Linked DNA regions of Oryctolagus cuniculus. The protein of the gene in region 2 interacts with the protein of the main gene of each other region in a pairwise test. Links are inferred from orthologs where the notes say so. Each region holds a gene or a part of one and is shown on either strand. Other genes may lie near its edges.

Region 1 (10,412 bases), on a different chromosome or scaffold from region 2:
CCTGGGGCTGGCTGGGCTCCAAGAGGAGCCCCTGGAAACTTTCCCAGAAGGCCTCACTGCACTAAACCCTGCCCAAACTCCACCCCTTTTTATGTTTAATTAGGGCACCACCCCCTACCACCTAAAGGGGCCCCTGGACAGGGAGCGCCTTCTGTTGGAGCCTCCTGGTGGGCGGATCTCCCCCCGGGGGGGGGGGTGCTCGCTCTCACTGTATCGGGGTTCTCACTTTGGCAGTTTCTAGCGAAAGTGGGGTACAGAGTACTTTATTCCCGCATCCTCTCAACCCTTTCTTCCTGACCTCTGCCCTCTCCTGGCTTTCGGTTCAGGGATCTTGTCTCGGTCCTCACCCAGTCTCAGCCCAGCGGCAGCCACCTTGCCGGGGAGAATGCCCGTCGTGCACCTGCTCACGGCAGGTGGCGCGTTTCTTGTGAGCCTGGCCCAGTGTCCTCACACGACTGGGACAGGATGGCGGGAAGAATGATGACAAATGATGACAGCAGCTCCCACCCACGCCGGTCGCGTGAGTGACCGAAATCTGCTGCGAAGGGGAGGCCAGTGACTCCCACTTTCCAGGAAGGGAAACTGAGGCCCAGAGACGTCCACTGGCCTTCCCAAGGTGGCAGAGCTGAGCCCAGAGCCCTCAGCTGAGGGGGCTTCCGTGTCCCCTGCTGGATGCGAAGCCCCCAGCCCCGGCCCTAGGCTGTGCTGAGGCCCAGCTGTGGATAACAGCCGCTGATGGACCGACCTGCCAAAGCGACCGTGACTAACTCGCTTCATCTCCACTGCGGGGTCAGCTGCCCGTGCGGGAGGCCTTGAGGGACTTGACCAGATCCCTGGCCACGCCCCCCCCCCCCAGCCTCGTCCCCTGCTGCTGTGTGAAAGGGAGTTGGGGTCAATCCCCGCCCCTTCATGGCTGTCCCAAGGCGGGAGGGCGTGGCTTTGCTGGGCCGAGCCCGGTCTCTTCACCACCTTCACGGGGTTAATAACCGGCATGGCGTGCTCAGTAAACACCAGCGTGCCACGCCGAGCACCAGGCAAACCGGACGGCACCCGTGTATCTCATGAAATCCTCCTGGCACCCGGGGGCAGCAGCTATTCAAATCCCCATTACAGACGAGAAGACTGAGCCCACGGGCGGGCCCATGGGAGGCACAGTCAGAACTCAAAACCCAGTGTGCAGTGTGCAGTATACGCCAGAAGCCTCCACGGAATAGCCGGCCCCACAGCCTCCAAGACACGGCCGTCAGCCTAGGAGCGCTTCTACGATTATGTGACCTATCCCTACCTCACACTGTAGACAAAAACCAGCTCCAAATGACACCACTTCCATCTTCAGCAGATTGCACACGGAAATATCCTTTAGACTTCCATGTTGGGAAAGATGACAAATTATGCACACACAGAGCTTCAGGACACTGAGTGGAAAATGGGGGGGGGCATGCTGTGGTGTAGCAGGTTAATCCACCACCTGCGACGCTGGGACCTCCAGGTGGGCCGTTCTTAGCCGTGGACAAGCACGAATGCATGGAGAAGCCAAGACCCACCAGAGTCACACAGCGTGAGTATGGTTCTCTTTGCCGTGGTTTGAGCTGTAGCCACAAAATGACACATCGAAATCCTAACCCCTACCTGAAGATGCGCTCTTATTTAGAAACAAGGTTCAGTCTCTATGAGGTCACCCTGGATGAGGGCCCCTACATCCTTGTGTCCTTGAATAAGAGGGGAGGGCACACAGGGGGCGATGCCCATGAAGACGGAGGCAGAGACCCGGGCGACGTAAAGCCGAGGACGCCCAGAGGCTGGGGAGGGGCGTGGACCAGGTCCCAGCCGGTGCACTCGGGGGCGCAGGTGCCTGTCCACACTTGGGTTTCAGGCTTCCGGCCTCGGGGACCAGGAGAGAACATCCGGCTTGTGGTCATTTGTTACAGTGGTCCTAGTGATACGGGGGAAGCAGGCGGCACTCGGGTAGGAATACGTGAGCTGGAAGATTTTCCCCTAACTTCCATGCAGCCCTGCACTGTCACTCCACCCACCTACCTGCCAATCCAGCACACCCAGCATCCCATGATGCACCCGGGGCCTTGTCTGGGACCAGGAAGGAGGAGCCGATGCCACAGAACTCCCACAAAGCCTCATGCCCAGACTCCACCCTATTTGCATACTCAATTAAGGGACCACCCCCTACCCCACAAAGGCTGTGGGCGTGGTCCTTCTGGCTTCCCAGGCTGTTGGTCCCTCCCCGCCCCCTCCCAGGCTCTGTCTTGGTGGGCAGCTCTCTGGCCCACTCAGGACGGTGCCTGTCCGTGTGGGGTGGCTGCACTCACGCGTGCGTGTGTATTCACTCTCTCACTTCAAATAAACGCTGCCCCCGCCTCTGCACCTCACGGGTGCTCTGCTTTCTTAACTGTACGGGGAAAGAACTTGGAATAAACCCTGAGACACTCGCTGCCTTTTCCAACACTGGGACGCTCATAACCCTTTTCATGCAGTTAGTAGGCAGAAACTAAAGGAAAACACCCTTTCTAGGACGGAGGCGTGGTGAGGAGGTACAAAAAGTGGGCCGGGGCTCAGGGCCACAGGGACCCCAGGCGGGGACGGAACAGTGGGATGGGGACCTCGAGGTTGGATGAGGGTCTTTCTCAGGTACCTGGTACCTACTGCGTGACCTACGGAACTGCAGCAGGGGCCAGCGTGGTGCATAGCAGGTTAGGTGCTGCCTGCCACACCAGCATCCCATAGGCGTGCCGGTTCAAGTCCCGGCTGCCCCGCTTCCAATCCAGCTCCCTGCTAATGGCCTGGGAAAGCAGCAGAAGATGCCCCAAGTGCTTGGGCCCCTGCACCCACGTGGGAGACCCAGATGAAGCTCCTGGCTCCTGGCTTTGGCCTGGCCCAGCCCCGGCCATTGTGGCCATTTGCAGAGTGAGACACCACATGGAAGCTCTTTCTGTCTCTCCCTCTCTTTCAAATAAATCTTAACATACAATTAAATAAATAAAAAGGCTCCCTGCCCAGCGCCAGCTCATCGCCTGCCCCTTGCGTGCCCGTGAACTTCCCTGGCTCCAGGCTGAGGCTACATTCCTGGCAGCCGGCACCCATCTCGGAGGCCCTCCCCGCCCCACGCCGGCCGGCTGCACCCAGCACTCACACCTCGCACACACCATTCGCCAGTCCCTCCTCTCACTGACACCACGACCCCCAGGAACGAAGCCCAGAGCCGACCCAGCCCCCACTCAACCGCAGCAATGCAGACGGACTTCCACAGGGGCTCCTGGGAGGGCTCTGTCGCAGACCCCCCGTGGGATGGGCCTGGGTCCCCTGCATCTGCCACTGTTCCCACCCCAGCTCTGTGATGACAAGTTGTATACTGTAACGCACTTGCCTCTTAAGAAGCAGATTTTAAAAGGAAGAGGCACCTTGTCACTGTCCCGAATGGAAAGGCAACACCTGGGGCGGTGCTGTGGCAGAGCAGGTTAAAGCCCTGGCCTGAAATGCCGGCATCCTATATGGGCGCCGGTTTGAGTCCCTGCTGCTCCACTTCCCATCCGGCTCTCTGCTGTGGCCTGAGAAAGCAGTGGAAGATGGCCCAAGGCCTTGGGTCCCTGCACCTGCGTGGGAGACCCGGAAGAAACTCCTGGCTCCTGGCTTTGGATCGGTGCAGCTCCGGCTGTTGCGGCCATTTGGGGAGTGAACCAGTGGATGGAAGACCTCTCTCTCTCTCTCTGTAACTCTTTCAAATAAATAAATAAATCTTTAAAAAAAAAAAAAAAGGCAACACTTGCCATGAACAGGAGAAAACCGACGCACAAGCGCGCCAAATACAACGCCGGGACACTCTGGCTCCACAGCGCAGTCCTGGAGCCAGGAGGGCTGAGCCAGCCTGGGGAGCCGTGACAGCCACGTTAGCTGGGAGCGAGGTGGGAGGGGCTACCCCCTGGAAAGAGCAGGGCGGGGCCTCCCACCGGCCCCTGCTCAGCGCGTGCTCCTCGCCCTTCAGGGGGTTCCTCTCTGGCCCCAGGGTTCCTTTTGCTTTTAGGCCTGGAAATCCCTGGAGCAGATGCCTGGGGGCTGTGGCTGGGCTGCAGGGGGCTCCCCTAAGGCTGCCTGCGTCTGCTTCACCCCCCTCCCCCCACAAGCCCCTCCAGCACTGGGAGGGGGGGGAGTGGGCACAGGGCCAGGCTGGCACAGGGCAGGGCCGACTGGGCCCCGGCAGGCCCGAGGGAGCAGGGGTGAGCTCATCCCCCGCCCTTAATTATCGTCTTGGCTAATGAGCAGCTGGGAACCTGCAGCCCGGCCCACAGGGAGGACCCTGGGGACCCTGGGCCAGATGTCACCCGGAGGCACCGGGAGGAAACTGCTCTGGGGGAAGGGACTTACACTTCCTGCCTCCTCCCAGCCAGGGATGACAGCGGGGCCGGGGCCGGGGCAGGCAGGACACTGGAGGGGCTCCAACCCCGGGCTGGGCACTGCTGTTCTGTGGCCTTCAGCAAACGACTCGGGCCCTCGCTGTGTTAAGTGTGGGGAACACTGCCCCGCCCTGGCCCCGCCTGGGGTGCTCGTGAGACCTGCAGACCACAGCCAGGGTCTGCTCTACGGCACCCTCCCCGGGTGCACACGCACCCTGGGGTGCCTCGGCTCCTCTTCCGTAGAATGGGTGTGAAATGTCTGTCCAGTTCCCAGCAAATGCCACCGGTACAATTCACAGTAACTTAGCATTACTGGAACATTCTAGACAAGAGGGGCTCAGAGGGCTGCTGCAGGTCCCCCATCCTCAGCCCACCCCCGAGGTGGGTTTCATGAGACCCACCCTGAAGACGAGGCACCCAAGGCTCTGGGGGTGCAGCAACGTGCCGGGGAAGTTCAAGTTCACGGCCCAACCCGTTCAACCCTAGCACTGACGGCACCAGCGAGTGGCCAGGAGGCCGTCCTCTGTGCCAAGCACTCGATGTGCTCACACCAGAGAAAACAGCACAGAGAGGTCAGGCTGCTTTTCCAAAGCCACACAGCATAAACGGCTGGACTCGAACCCTGGCAGTCTGCCAACTTCCATTACCACTTTCCCCCGAGAATCTGTTCCCCCAAGTGTCCCTGCCTGCCTGGCATCGCGACGCCAGCTCTGGCTCTGGGGTTCCAAGCCTGCCCTGCCCAGCTCTTACCACTAATGATGCTCTGCTGGCTGGAGGCTGGGACCGCAAAGGCCGCTGGAACTGGCTTTGTGGGAAGAACCTGTTTCCTGCCACTCTGGACTCCCAGGTGTGACGGACAGCCAGAGCACAGGGCAGCCAGCCTGTGTGCCTGGCGCTCCTCTGCAGAAAAGACAGAGAATGGAGCAGACCCAACCCAGGGAAAAGCTCATCACCACCCCCAACTCCCAAGGCCCTCCCTTGCTCTGCCCCCCAAATGTTTAATTTCACAAGGGGCAGGAGAGATGGGGAGGTGGGGCGGGGGGGGGGGGTTAGGAAAGCCCCTGCCAAGGAAGGGCCATTCAAGCTGAGATCAATGAAGTGGAGAAGTGGCACGGGCAGGAGCAAGTGGCATGGCAAAGGCACTGGGGCAGGAACAGCCTGGTGCTCTGACGGCGCGGGAGGAGAGCCCAGGCCGTGCAGGAGGGAGCCAGGGATGCCCGACGCCCTGGCCTGCAAGCTTCTGCCAGAGACAGGCAAAGAAGCTACCGGCGGACAAGCCGTCCAGCTCCCAGGAGCCCCAGGTCCACCAGCCCCTCTGGGCTCACCGGCCTTGCAGCACCCACCCCTCGAACGGGCCTCACTGGCCACGGCGAGCGCCCACTTGCAGCGACCAGCTGCTATGCCCACACTAACTGGGGCCTCTCCCAGCCGGGGGCGCAGGCCTGGAACCAAACCCTGGGATCCCTCCGCACCTCGCAGCGGTAAGGTGGGCTAGCTCCGTGGGGGTCTGTCTTGAGCTAAGCGTACTCACTGGTAGGACAGGGCTGGGCATCTGGTGGGCAGGGCGCCTGCTATTACGGTCAAAATAAGCAGGATGACACACTGTCAAGGGGGTGGAACTCTCTGGCTCCCGCTGCGCTGAGGCCTCCGGGGCAGCAGGCATGTGGCCGAGGTTCGATAAACCTTACGAATGAGTAAACGACCAGCTGGCTCCAGTCCCAAGCTCTTACCTGCCGGGCGCCTCAGTTTCCCCGTCGGTAAGCGCGCGGGAAGAGGACAGCCCGTGGGGCTGGGGTGAGGCTGGCGGAGGCACGGCGCTGACGGCGCGGCCCCAACCCACCAGCGCCCCCCGCCCCGCCCGCCGTCCCGCCAGCTGCGCGGAGCCCCCGCCCACGCCGGCCGCCCCGGCCCCGGCCCCGAGCGCACGTGACTCCGCCCCGGCCCGGCCCGCCCCGCCGTCCCAGCGCAGGCGCCTATTGGCCACGCCGGAGGTCCCCGCCCCCGTCCGGGGCGGAGCCTGAGGCGCCCCGCCCGCCGCAGAGCGGGGTTCCTGCGTCCCGACGGTGCGCGGCGGCCGGACCGGGCTGGCGGGCTGGCGGGCGGAGCCGGGCCCGCGGGGCTGCTGCGGGGCGACCGGGCCGGGGCTGCGGGCTGCGCCATGGTGAGCGGGGCCGGGCGGGCTGGGCGGTGCGCCAGGCGGGGGCTTGAGGGAGGGGAAGGGGCGGCCCCGGACGGGGTGGGGGCGCGCGCGCGGGCGCGCGGGGCGGCGGTGCCCCGGGCCTGGGTGGGAGGTGGTCTTCGCGGCGAGGGAGGGGCGGCCCGGGCCGGGGCGCGGCTGGCGGGAGGGAGGGTCTGTCTGTTCCGGGGGCCGCGCCCGCGGCGGGGGCTCTTTGTCCGCTGCGCTGCGGAGAGGTCGGGACAAAGGAGGCGGCGGGGGGCGGAGGCCGCCTCGCGGGGAGCGGTGCTCCAGCCCCCTGTGCACGCCCCCCGCCCAGGCCCGGGCCGGCCTCCGGGGCTCCCTGGGACACTTCGAGGATTTTCAAAATTGCTTCCAAGGCTTGGGTCCTGGCAGCCCCCAGCGCGGTCAGGCGGATTGCGGCGACGGAATCAGGCGGGAGTCAGGGGTCCGGGCGACGTCCGGCGCCTGGCGCGCGGGTGGGGAAACTGAGGCGGGCGCGGCTCCGTCGGCGGTGACGGCGTGGCGTGGGCAGGACTGGGTCTCGTGGCCGCCGACCCCCGCCCCAAGGCGGGCCGGCTCCAGCCGCCTCCAGCTGTCGCCCCCTCCCCAGCTGTCGCCCCCCCCGGCCGAGCCCCTGCGTCCCTGGCACCGGGCTTGCTGCTCCGTGCGGCGCGGGGACGCCGGCGGCCCCGCCAGGGTTAATGAGAGGGTGCGTGGAGCGCCTGGCACCCAGCCTGCTCGCCGCCCGCGCTCGCTGGCGTATGGGTGCTTGTCATCCTGAGTCCCGAGGGCGACCGCCCTGGGGTCAGCTGGTCCCAGGCCCCTCGGGCACCGGGGAGAGGAGCTGGGGGTGGGTGGGTGAAGACTGTGACAGTTTAGGGTCACGATTGGGAGCTGGAGTTCCGGCTGCAGGCCACCTGGGTGATTGGGTCTGTGCGCACCTACTTTTGAGCTGTGTGACCTTGGGTAGCTGACTTGACTTCTCTGAGCCTTAGCGCCTCCGTCTGCCACCCGCGGGGTGGTTTGGACGTGGGAAGGAGACATCTGCCCAAGGCATTAGTGCTGGCACACGGCGACTGCGCCAACTTTTCTCCAGCTTCCCCTGTTATTCCCAGAGTTGTTCAGCCTCTCAGGCGGCAGGTGATTCACAGGGCGGGGGCACGGGACTGGGGCCCGGGCCACAGGAGCCCCTGGCTGACCTTGGGACAGCCCCTGAGGTCTGCGGGCTCCAGCTTCCTCTTCTGCTGCGGGAAACCTGGGGCTTCCTCCGGGAGGGGCAGGGGTGAACCAGCACTGGCCCGAGAGCCACGGGGCTGCCTTGGGCTCCCCCTGCTTCTGATCCTGGCTCGTGGACAGCCGCGGCTGCGCGTGATGCGTCCTTGTGCCCAGTGCCACAGAGCCGGTGCGGCACAGGGCAGATCTTCCACCTGCGTCCTGGCGGTGACCCGCGGAGCCCTGGGCTCCCCGCAGCCCTGTTTTCCCAAGGGACCTGGGCAGGAGCCGCTCTGGTTTGTGAACGGGGACCCCTGGGGAGGCAGAGCCTGGTGGTTTGGCGGCCTTGGCAGGTGGCTTGTTAGGGCATGAGGGGCATGGCTCCTGGGGACAGTTCTGGAGGTGCGTGGTCCCCAGAGAGCCAGCAAGCCTCCTGGCTGCCTTGGTGAGCCCCGGGAGCTGCAGGCTGGTGCCCCGCTGAGCCCAGCAACCTGGTGATGTGCCCCAGTCAGCGACGACGAGGAGGAGGAGAGGAGGAGGCAGCGAGTCCCTGGGGAAGGGGCTGTTTGTGGCACCGGGCCTGGGCCCGCGCTCTGTGTCTTTCTGGTCCTGAGCACCCACTGCCCTCCTGTGGCACCCCACGGAGGCGTGGCTGGGGACATGCGACCTTAGAGGCCCCGGGCCCTTCCGCTCACTCACCCACCTCATAAGGTGGCCGGTGAGGCCAGGGGCTCCACACTGAGAAACTGAGGCCAGCCCGGAGCAGCTTGGTGGGGTCCCGACGTCACCCCGAGCGCGGGCAGGGCTCAGGGGGGAGAGGACTCGGGCCACCCAGCTGCTGGCTGTGCCCACTCGGCCTCCGACATGTGCGGTGGGTGAAGACTTAGTTGCAAGATCCCAAGTCAAGGCAGAGGGAGCGGCCCCCGGCCCAGGTGGGGCAGGCCTGCAGGAAGGCAGGGGCCCGCTGGTGGGCAGTGCTGGGCTCGGGGTCACACGCAGCTCCCCTGGCTGCTCTGGGCTCTCATTGGCCTCCCCGGGCCTGGGAGACACGGGCAGGGAGCAGAGGGCTGCGGCCTGGGTGGCGGTCCAGCGGCTTAGGGCCGGGCCGGCCGGTGCTCACTGGGGCTGCTCTGCCTTGCTGCTGTCACCCCAGGGGACACGGCCTGCCCTGTGCTCCAGCCAGTCTCTGGTGGTGTCCGGGGTGCTGCTGGGACCCAGGGGTCAGGTGTGTGGAGTCGGAGGGGACAGGTAGTATGGAGGTTATCCAGGTTTCGGGGGAACTGGTGGCCTTGGCTTTGAACGCCAGGCTTTGTCCTACAGAGGGAGCCTGTGAGCGGGTGCCGCAGAGCAGGTGCCCCTGGCTGGGGTCCGCCCGGCCCCCGGCCTTCGAAGGCCGCTCCGCTGGGTGGGGCCCTGCTTCTGGGTTCCCGTCTCCTGCTCTTTGTGCCTCAGTTTCCCCTTCTGCGAAGTGGAGCGGCTGGGGCAGCAGGGCTCCCCTAGGGCTGCTGGGCGGCCGCGTGCTTGTGGGTGAAGTGGCCGTGACAGCTCGGAGGCGGCCCACGTGGCCCATGGGCCGTCCTGGGGGCTTCGAGGGGGTCCCAGGAAAGGTCCAGCCGGACAAAGGGGCTGCCCTCAGCCGCCTTCGGGCTCTGCTGCTCTGCCCTGCCCCCGGCGTCCGTGCACACAGCCGAGGCCTCCCACAGTCCACTGGCACCTGAACTTGGCCCGCTGCCCGGCCTCCTGCTGGCCCCTGGCTTTCTGGAGTCTGCAAAGTGGGCGTGGGGACCCCCGATTGGGATTCCTGTGTGAGGAGGGTGTTCTCTGCTTCAACGCTGCACCCCGACTTGCAAACCTACTGTGTGCCGGCCAGGGCGGGGGGGATGGTGCCCACCTTCTGCGGACTCGGCGTCCACTGCAGGAGGGAGACGGCAGCCGGGGAAAGGCACCGTGTGTGTGTGTGTGTGCTGGGAGGGAACTGCAGGGAGTAAAGTCGGGAGGGCAGCCTGTAAGAGGCGCCTTCTGACACAGGTGTGAAGAATGGGAAAGAGCCCGGGAGGAGCCCTGCAGGCAGGGGCGCAGCGCAGGGGCCCAAGGCGGAGCCGGCGTGGCAGGACCGGGCGTGCAGTAGCCAGAGAGGCGCTTGGTCTTGTCCCGAGGCCGGGGAGGGACAGGAGCAGAAGTTTGTAAAGATCAGTTCTCAGGGGGTAGTTGCAGGGTGAAGGAAGGAACAAACGTGCCCACACATGGGCGGGCGGAGGGGGCGCCCCGGGCCGGGGCCTGGTGCCCCTGCCTGCCTGGGAGCCGCAGCCAGGGTTGTTTGGCCATCACGGCTCCCACAGTCTCCGCGTGGCCCCAGGACCACAGGTTTCCCCCTGGATCTGTGGGTCCCGCCTGGGCTCCGCAGCTGGCTTCGGCCCCCGGCTGCCCCTCCCTCCAGTGCCATTGTTCGAATTTCCCACTTCCTGCCCCCGAAACGCCCCCAGCCCCCAACACACACACTTCCCCTTCCGAATTGATACTGCCTTGTCTTCCTGTCCAGAGCCCCATGGGAGGGCAGGTGGGAGGGCAGGCGCCCCAGCAGGCCGAAGCGAGCTGAGGTCAAGGGGCAGGAACAGTGA
Region 2 (10,323 bases):
CCTTTGCCCCTGGTTCACCCTCCAATGGCCGCTGCACTGCGGCCGGCGCACCGCGCTGATCTTAAGGCAGGAGCTGGTGCTTATCCTGGTCTCCCATGGGGTGCAGGGCCCAAGCACTTGGGCCATCCTCCACTGCACTCCCTGGCCACAGCAGAGAGATGGCCTGGAAGAGGGGCAACCGGGACAGAATCCGGCACCCCAACCGGGACTAGAACCTGGTGTGCCGGCGCCGCAAGGCGGAGGATTAGCCTAGTGAGCCGCGGCGCCGGCCATGGGCTCCTGGTTCCTGGCTTCGGCCTGATCCAGCATGGGCTGTTGCAGAGGTTTTGGGTAGTGAACAAGCAGATGGAAGATTCTTTCTTTTTCTTTCTCCCCCCAGCCCCGTCATCCCATATGGGTGCTGGTTCGAGTCCCAGCTGCTCCTCTTCCAATCTAGCTATCGGCTATGGCCTGGGAAAGCAGTGGAAGATGGCCGACGTCCTTGGCCCTTGCACCCGTGTGGGTGGGAGACCCAGATGGAATTCCTGGCTCCTGGCTCCAGCCTGGCAAAATCCTGGCTGTTGGAAGCCATTTGGGGAGTGAATTAGTGAATGAAAGATTTCGCTCTCTCTCCCCACCCCACCCCCCACCCCGTAATACTGTCTTTCAAGAAAACAAAATTTCAACTGTGTTTTGATAGTTTTCTTCTTTAGAAACAATCAAGTCTGTCAAAATAGGAAATGGTAGGAACAGGAGTCTGTATCTTATACTATGGCCTTAAATATTGCTGTTTCATAGTTTAAAAAATTACAAAGTACACTCATTAAATTTTGTAATTATCTATAGCTCAAAGCCTTCAGCCTATTGCTGCTCATACCAAGATTTATTACAGCTTACTGAATAAATGTTTCTCTGGGGGATGGTATTGTGATGCAGCAAGTTAGGCCACCATTGCAACGAAACATCCCAAATTGGAGTGCTCAGTTTCAGATCCAGTTTCCTGCTGGTGTGCCTAGAAGACAGCAGAGGCTTAACCTGCCCAAGAATGAGTTTTGTGGTCCTTTCCAGGAGTGAACCAATGGACAAGAGATCCCCTCCCCTAACCCTGTCATTCTGCTTTTCAAATAAAACAAAAAACCTTTAAAATATTAATCACCTGAACTTATTAGGACTTTTAGTACCATACAAGCAAAATACAGAAAAAAATTGGCTAAGGCTGATATGAGATAGGTAGCCTGCTAGTTAGGATCTGGAAGTACCTGCAAGCTACAAGCCCCCACCCTATGTTATTCTATCCTACTCATCCATCAGAACACTGCCTTTCCTAGGATGCCTTTCACAGGGGACCTATGGGGGAAATTCATCATGTAAATACGTATATAAGGCCCACATGGAATTTTATGGAGGTATCATAAAACTCCCAGATGACTTCATGTCTGTAGAGGCAACCTTCTCCTCTCCAACCTCATAAAAGGTGCTGGGAGGTGCTGCCTCTCCCCTCCAGAAACCAGGACTAGAGGAGTGCTAGGGTACAACTCTGTCTCCCCACTCTACCCCCTTCTCCTTCTGGGCCCATTACCCACTCACGACAGGTCTCTTTCTGCGTAAGGCAACCCATGCTCACATGTGCATGCTTGCTTTCTCACCTTTCACATAAAACTTTATCACTTGGGGCACCCTATATGTGCACAACAAAAGCCAGACACAGGAATGCACACATTCAAATTTCACTAATAAAAGTATCCTCACAGACCAAAGTTTGGGCTGGCACTGTGGTGCAGCAGGTTAAGCCACTGGCATCTCATACAAGCTCCACATGAGTTCCGACTGCTCCACTTTTTTTTTTTAATAGAAAACTTTTACTTAATAAATATAAATTTCAAAAGTACAATTTTTGGATTATAGAGGTTCTTCTCCCCATACCTACTCTCCCACCCACAAACCAGCCCATCTCCTACTCCTCCTCCCATCCCATTCTTCATGAAGATTTATTTTTAATTATGTTTATACACAGAAGATCAACTCTATACTGAGTAAAGATTTCAACAGTGAGCTCCCTGCTAATTGTGCCTGGAAAAGCAGCAGAAGATGGCCCAGGTGCTTGGGTCCCTGATACCAACGTAGGGGTACCAGTACGGAGTGCCAGACACCTGGCTTTAGTCTGGCCTAGACCAGGCTGGCGTGGCCTTTGGGGAATGAACCAGCAGATGGAAGAGCTATCTCTCTCTCTCACATTGTAACTGCCTTTATCAAGTAGACGAATAAATCTTAAAAAAAAAAAAAAAAAAAAGTTCACACTTCAATTTGCTGTATCAGAAGAGTTTTGTTGAGGTACAATTTGAGTTCAGCTTCCTGAGACACAAGAAGGTAGTACTGGGGCCTGCACTGTGGCATAGCAGGTAAAAGCCACCACCCGCAGTGCCAACATCTCATATGTGTGCCAGTTTGAGTCGTGGGCTGCTCCACTTCCGATCCAGCTCTTGGCTATGGCCTGGGTGGGAAAGCAGTAGAAGATGGCCCACTTCTTTAGGCCCCTGCACCCATGTAGGAGACCCAGAAAGCAGCTGCTGGCTCCTGGCTTTGGATCAGCACAGCTCCGGCCTTTGCAGCCAACTTGGGAGTGAAATAGCCCATGGAAGACCTCTCTGTCTCTCTGCCTCTCCTCCCTCTGTATAACTCTGACTTTCAAATAAATAAATACATCTTTAAAAAAAAAAAAAGGCGATATCAAGGTTATCAAAAAGACCAACATTTACAAATGAACGGTAAACAACACAGGCAGTTTCTGGAAAGAAAGATATGCCTGGCTTGATTAAGGGGGCAAAAAAGAAATGCAAAGAACTGGAGTTACAATGTAGAACAGAGGCATGACTCAGGAAAAGTTGGGACAACATAAGGAAATGACATCTCCTCTTCTAATACTGACCACTTAACCTTCCTCTGTTGCTCCGCCCCCCACGCTTCACTTACTCCTTTACATTCTCTTAAGAATGGCTGCCCCAACCAGGCTCCACTGCAGGAGACCAGTGCTTACCTCTTTAAAAAAAAAAAAAAAAAAGATTTATTTTATTTTTATTTGAAAGAGTTACAGAAAGAGGTAGAGACAGAGAGGTCAGTCTTCCATCCGCTGGTTCACTCCCTAGATGGCCGCAATGGCTGGAGCTGCGCTGATCCGAAGCCAGGAGCCAGGAGCTTCCTCCGGGTCTCCCACACCGGTGCAGGGGCCCAAGGACTTGGGCCATCTTCCACTGCTTTCCTAGGCCATAGCAGAGAGCTGGAGAGGAGCAGTTGGCGCCCATATGGCTTCAGGCCAGGGCTTTTACCAGCTGTACCACAGCACAGGCCCCATTACCCCCTTTAACAATCAGGCCCCAGGGCAAGGAGGTAGGGGAGGTATGAGAATATTTTCTGTTCCCCCTTCCTCCTAGAAGAGCTTCAAAGAAATTTTATTCAACAAAGAATTAATCCAAATTGGAAGAAATCCAATTTAGAATGTTTCAAGAGCACAAATGCGCTATACCTAGTATACTTTTCAGAGCTTGTAGGTCTAACTCTAAGAAAAGACAGCAACTTGCCAAAATTCCCTACTTCTGAGCCTTTGGCCAGCATGCACCTGACGAAACACCTATCATCCATTGACTCCTCAGTGCCTTCCTGACATCCTGACCTGTCAGTTTTTCTCAGGCACTGAGAAAAGCACTTCTTTTTCACGTGAATGGTGTCACAAAGACTGCTCAACCCCCAGTGAGCATGCGCACCTACCAAACAAGTTTCACTGTAAAAGGCTCTTGTCTATAACATAATCGTTATCACACACACCAGCACACGGGAGTGGCAGAAGTGCAGCCGAGTATGAAATCACGTGAAGTGGACGACCTATACTACTCAAACGTTAAGGCAGGAAGCTGATGCTTCAGGGCTGCACTGCTGGCTTTCTGCCCGCCCACGTCCTCAGGCTCACAGCGCCTGGTTCCCAGGCTAGAGCTCATCTCACCACCTGTGGACCTAAAGGAGCACCACAGAAACTGAGAGGGAATGCACTGTCATCCCTCTAGTGACCGGCTGTGGCACCTGACACCAAAGCCCCGCAGCTCTCTCATGATTTTGTGCCATGCCAGCACCTCCTTCCTTGTGCCCCTTTATAAGCCCCAAACCCCTAGCACAGCAGGAGTCCCTATCATCTGTGGACAGATTAAATGTTCTCTCTCCTTCATCTCAAAATCCTGTCCTCCTTACTTTGATTGATACTGGGGACAGGGCTTTGGCTAGCAGAAGTGCTGTCAGCAGAGGGGGAGGGAGAGCAGAGTTTCAGCACCTTTCTAGCAAGAGCTCCTACCTGCGGGCCTTGTCTCCTCAGGGAAGATGACTGTTTTAAACAGAGAGGGGAAGGCATTTTGTGTATATCAACACATTGTGTGCTGTAATCTGACCGTGGCTCCCCATGCAACAGTGCTGAGAGAAGATGGCATCTTCGAGAGACATTTTGGGCCAAGGGCTCCACTCTCATGAACGGATTAACATTTTTTCCTAAAAGAATAGGTCAGAAGTTTGGTCTCCTTTTCCTCTCTCCTGATGGTGCACACTCATTCTTGCCCTGTTCACAGGCTCTGGTCAGCAGCTGAACAGAGGGTGAAGTTCCCTGCCTCCAAAACTGGTGACCCAAACAAACCCCTTCCTGTTATAAATTACGCAGTCTCGGGTGTGCTGTTACAGCAACAGAAAACTGATGAATACACTATAACTGTCTTCTTACGTGTGTACGTCCTCCACTAGACTGAGAGAATTGCCCGAAGGCAAGAAGCCCATGTATTCACCTGTTGCATCCTCAGAACTAAGCACAATACCTGATACACAGCAGATACCCGATGCATGTCTGCTCAGTGAACACAGGTGTGACACTGAGGATCAAGCAGTGAGAAATACCTGCTGAGTGAAGACCAGTCATGTGATGCTTAGTGATGGGACCCGCCTCCGAGAAATGCATCGTTAGGCAACCATGTCACCGTACAAACACCACAGTCTGTGCTTACACAAACTAAGACAACAACGACATCACTAGGACACACAACCTTGTAAGAGCCCCTCATCATGTACGTGGTCCCTCATTGAACAAAACATCTTATGTGTCACATGACTGTAGGTAAAAAAGATAACACTCTGTAAAGAAACATTTCAGGAGACATCTCAAGTCAACTAATGAGTTGCTTTGTTATTAACTATTTCACATTAAAAAGTGTTAAGACATGAAAATGCAACATGTCAAATTTTTCTTGCCTGATACAGGTTTAAGGCCAATGTAAGCTCGTTAGCCTTTCATTCCACTTTCTCTAATTCCATCCACTTGTAGAATTAGCTTTTTATCCTTAAGTTGCCTTTGGATACTGAATCCAGTCACACATGAGCTGACAAGCAAGCGCCTGAAGCTTTGGATGACGGCACTGTCCACGAGATCATCTATGAACAACAGTACTTTTCATCTCAACAGTGGTAACTCTCTTACCGAAGTGATGCTAAAGTGTGACCCACTAAATCCTGCAGGGGCTCAGGAGCCACTAAGGGGAAGCTCTGGAACAGTGCAGGGGGCAGAACAACGCAGTCTACTTTTACCAGACAAGTTTTCAAGCAGAAAATGCGAGATGTTCTAGCCTTTTCTGAGATGCCAGAGTTTTCCTTTTCATCTCCCAAGACAGGACGTGTCGCATCTGCGCGATCGAAGGTAAGGGACGGCACCTGTACAACCGTACGTGAATTCTGAATGTAGGACGGCACCTGTACAACCGTCCATGAATTCTGAATGTGTGCCATCAGCGCTTGCACGCGCGTGTACGTGAGCTCTCCCCATTCGACACGGGGCAGCCGACCTCTCCAGCGCCGAGCTGCCCTAGACAGTATGGTATCCACAGCCGCCGCCTCTTCCAAGGCAGGAGGGCTCATCAACAGGCTCCAAGAGGGGCAGAAAGTTCGCGACAACTCCCTAAGTATGCAATCAGTCCAGACTCCAACTCCAGCTCGGCCGTATTCCCGGCGCCCGGCGAGGGGCACCGCCCTTTAGGGATCTCCAACCTACGCAGGCAGGAAGTACTCCCTAGACCCCCTGCGACGCGCCGAGATCGCCCCCAAAACATTCCGTCGCAGAGGCGGCGGCACCGCCCCTTCCCAGTCCGCAGTCAGAGTCGCCGCCGCCCACTTTCCGGCTGCACCTACAGCCGCCCAGGACCCGGCGCAGCACTCACCCACGTCCTGCTCGAAGGGGTTGGCGGTGAACAGTGGCATCTCGCCGGCGTCCGGGTCCGCGTCCCTGCGGTCTGGCTGGGTCTCAGCAGCTCCTCCCCGCCGGCTGACCCGGGACCGCGGCTTCCTAGACGACTCCGCTCCGGACGCCCGCCCCGTTCTTCCGCCCGCGGGCCGGCTTGACGCCTGCCTGCCTGACGGGCTGCCAGCGGGCGCTCCGCCCCCGACTCCGCTTTTGGGACGACGTCCCGCCGGCATCGGGCATCCTCTCAGCGCCCCTGTCGCAGCCGCCCACCTAGAGGAGGCAGCAGTCCTGGTCCCAGGCCTTCGCAGGGCTCAGGCGTTTGGCGCGGCCACCTTTCCGTGGCGAGGACCTCGGCAAGCCACGGAGCCGGGACCTTCGGAAACGGAAGTTGCTGATGAGAAACGCAGGAGGTCCGGAAGCTGCAATGCGACCGGCGGCGCGGCAGGGGGCGCGGCGGGCCCGGGTTTTTCGTGGGGCGGGCGGAGTTGGGGGCGCGGATCGTAACTGCCCGGTTCTTCTTGCTGATGGAGTTCTAGGGCTGCAGGTCTGGTCGCCGGCGGCCGCTGAGCGCCCGTGGCTGCGTTCGCGTCACAGTGCGGTAGCCCTGGAAACGGAGCCGCTGGCGGCGCGGTGGCTTTGCGAGTCTGCCCGAGGCCTGGCTTAGCTCTGCTCGCCCACCTCTAGGGCGCTGCGCCCCAAATCCCCCGAGAACAGCCGCCCATGGGAAGCGGTGGTCGCGGCGCTTAGGGCTCTGCAGGGACTCGTACCTTTCGCCTCCCGCCGCCTCCTCGCCGTAAAAGCAGTGCTCACTCCGGGAATCCGAAGGCGGATGAGGCAAACCCCCTACTCTTCACAGGGGCAGTGCCTATGTACGAGGTCGTAGGCGACCGTGTGGGACTAGTAATTAGCAAACAGATGGCCGTCGCATCCGGCCCGGCACTGGAATGTCAGCACCCCTTGGACTCACACCTTCCCTGCCCCTCGTCGCCCTCCGTCATGGTTTTCCCGAGGACATAATTGCCTCCTAGGTTGTCTGTCTCCCCTCATGAGACAACGAACTTGTGTTTATCTCACAGGTTGGCCTCTTTATCCACTATGCCACAGCCCCAGCCCCTTGACTTCACTTTTGTCCTAATGTTTCCTCTCTCTCACAGTGACTATTAATTGGACTAATAGCTAGCATGTTAGCTATTCAATTAAGGAAAAATTTTATAAGGAAAAAGATTTTATCTTATTTTCACCTGTTCTTTTACTGCTTTTCGTTTTGAAGATGTAGATCCACATTTCGGCCCTATGTCGTGTTCCTTCTCCCTGAGCACTTCTGTTCACATTTATTGTAAGATAATTCCACTGTCGCCAGATTCCTTCGAATTTCGTGTGCCAGAGAAAGCCTGTTTCTTCGTTACTTTTAAAGGTTAATTTCAATAGATAGAGAATTCTAGATTGGTGGTTTTTTTTTTTTCATTGTACACTTTAAATAGTTCACTTTTTCTCTTCGTGCCTCCATGGTTTCTGAACCCACTTGTAGTTCTTATCCTTACTCCCCTGTAGGTAGTAAGGTGTTTTCCCCATCTCGGGCTTCTTTCAGATTTTCTCTTTGCCTTTGATCTTCTGTATATTGATTGGGATGTACTTATGTATAGAGTTTTTTGGAATTCGTACTGTTCGGCGTTGTATCTGTCGTTGGATCTGTAGTATCATTAATTTTGGGAAATTCACAGTCGTTGCTTCAGATATTTCTTTTGTTCTTTTTCTTTTGATATTTCCATTATGCTTTTTGTAATTCTCCCTCGGTTCTTACATACTCCATTATTTTAAATTCTTTTTTCTTTTCTTTGCATTTTAGATTTTCAGATTCAGATTCTTTGGCCCTGTAGTTTCTGCTGAGGAGCCCATTAGGGCATTCTTCATTTCTGCTGCAGTGTTTTGTATTTACAGTATTTTCTTTGGATTCTTTCTTATTTCTATTTCTCTGTTTATATTATTAATTTTTCCATTTTTCCATTTGAGCCCCTAACACATAAATCAACGTCATGGTGTGATAATTCTAACATTCTTGCTGTATCTGAGTCTAGTTCTGTTGCTTGCTCTGCCTCTTCAAACCGTTTTTGTCTTTCAGTATGCCTTGTAGTGTTTTACTGAGAGTTGGACGAGATACATTGGAATTAAACAGTCATTTACTGTGAGGTTTTACCTATATCCACCCAGGGCTCAGGCTGTGTTCACCATTCCCTGTAGCTGTAGGTATCAGAGACCAGAATTTTCTCTCTGATTTCCTTGTTTGTATCTCCTCTGTTGTCTTTGGGTGGTCTTCCCCCCTTCCCCTCCTCCTCCTCCTCCTCCTCCTAGATTTATTCATTGGTTTGAAAGTCAGAGTTACAGACAAGGAGAGACAGAGAGAGAGAGGTCTTCTATCTGCTCGTACACTCCCCAAATTACCCCAACAGCCAGAGCTGGGCCAGGTTGAAGCCAGGAGTCGGGAGCTTTATCCAAATCGCCTATGTGGGTGCAGGGGCCCAAGCACTTTGGGCCATCTTCTACTGATTTTCCCAGGCCAATAGCAGCTGGATCACAAGAGGACCCACATGGGATGCCACGTTGCAGGCAGCAGCTTTACCCATTATGCCTTAACACCAGCTCCTACAATACAGCTTCTTTGCAATGATAGGTGTGTTTACATTTTTGTTTTATATTTGCACTCTTCAGATGGCTGCTAGCCGTATGTGACACTCGATCACCTGAAATGTTGCTAGTTGCATCCGGAAAAGCAGTGAAAGATGGTTCAAATGCTTGAGCGCATGAACCCACATGGGAGACCTGAAAGAAGCTCTTGGCTTCTGGCTTTGTCCTGGCCCAGACCCAGCCATTGCAGCCATCTGGGGGGTGAACCAGTGAATGGAAGATAGCTCTATCGCTCTCTATCCCTCTCTCTCTCCCTGTAACTGTACTTTTTAAATAAATAAAATAAATCTCCACCTTTTTTATTTTATTTATTTATTTATTTTGACAGGCAGAGTGGACAGTGAGAGAGACAGAGAGAAAGGTCTTCCTTTATCGTTGGTTCACCTTCCAATGGCCGCTGCAGCCGCTGGTCGAAGCCAGGAGCCAGGTGCTTCTCCTGGTCTCCCATGGGGTGCAGGGCCCAAGCACTTGAGCCATCCTCCACTGCACTCCCAGGCCATAGCAGAGAGCTGGACTGGAAGAGGGGCAACCGGGACAGAATCCGGCGCCCCAACCGGGACTAGAACCTGGGGTGCCGGCGCCACAGGTGGAGGATTAGCCTACTGAGCCGTGGCGCCGGCCTAAAATAAATCTTTAGAAATGTTGCTAGTGTGGTGCAGGTGCTGTGGCACAGCTGGTTAAAGCTCCCGCCTGTGGCACCAGCATCCTCATGGGTGCCGGTTTGAGTCCTAGCTGCTCCCTTCTGATCCAGCTCCCTGCTAATGTGCCTGGGACAGCAGCAGAGGATGGATGGTCCAAGTCCTTGGGCCCCTGCACCCACGTGAGAGACCAGGAAGCTGAATTGGAAGAAGAGTAGCCAGGACTCTCTGAGCAGCCAGATGGCATCTAAAGCCACTTACCTCAGGTGGCAGCTTAACCCACTGAGGCACAACGCACTCCCCCACCCATCGCCAGTTCCTTTTTACGTTTAATGTTGCTTGATATCCTCCATTCCTGCACAGGAACAAAAGCATTTTCCAGGGGCATTACTCGTTCAGCATTTTGTTTAGTGAACATGGAGTGCTACCACATGCAAAATACTAGTGGTGGGGGCAAGGGTTGCTGAGGGAAGCATGAAAAATGACATAATTATTGCTCTTAGTTATAACCAGGTGGAGAAAGAGTGATGTATGAAAATAGTAGAAGAGAGAAGAGGAAAAAGGGAAATTGCAGCCTGGCGGTGTGGTGCAGTGGGTTAAGCCTCCACCTGCAATGCTAGCATGCCGTATCAGAATGCTGATTAGTGTTCCCAGCAGCTTCCCGCTAATGTGCCTGGGAAGGCAGCAGAAGATGGCCCAAGTACTTGGCCCCCTGCCATTCATGTGGGAGACCCAGATGGAGTTCCAGGCTGCTGGCTCTCCCCCACT

The links. The genes of interacting proteins can lie anywhere in the genome.
Region 1: the proteins of STAM2 (region 2) and LITAF interact in a two-hybrid assay, tested with the Homo sapiens proteins (4 studies listed by BioGRID and IntAct). The two-hybrid records come from large-scale screens. The link is inferred for Oryctolagus cuniculus from reciprocal best matches to the Homo sapiens genes STAM2 and LITAF.

What each region holds. Positions count from the first base shown.
Region 1 is NC_091450.1:25,059,223-25,069,634, reverse strand, and holds the start of LITAF (lipopolysaccharide-induced tumor necrosis factor-alpha factor), read right to left. Parts: upstream 6,287-10,412; 5' UTR 6,134-6,286; intron 5,304-6,133; 5' UTR 5,154-5,303; intron 1-5,153.
Region 2 is NC_091434.1:89,702,594-89,712,916, reverse strand, and holds the start of STAM2 (signal transducing adapter molecule 2), read right to left. Parts: upstream 6,739-10,323; 5' UTR 6,469-6,738; coding exon 6,213-6,468; intron 1-6,212.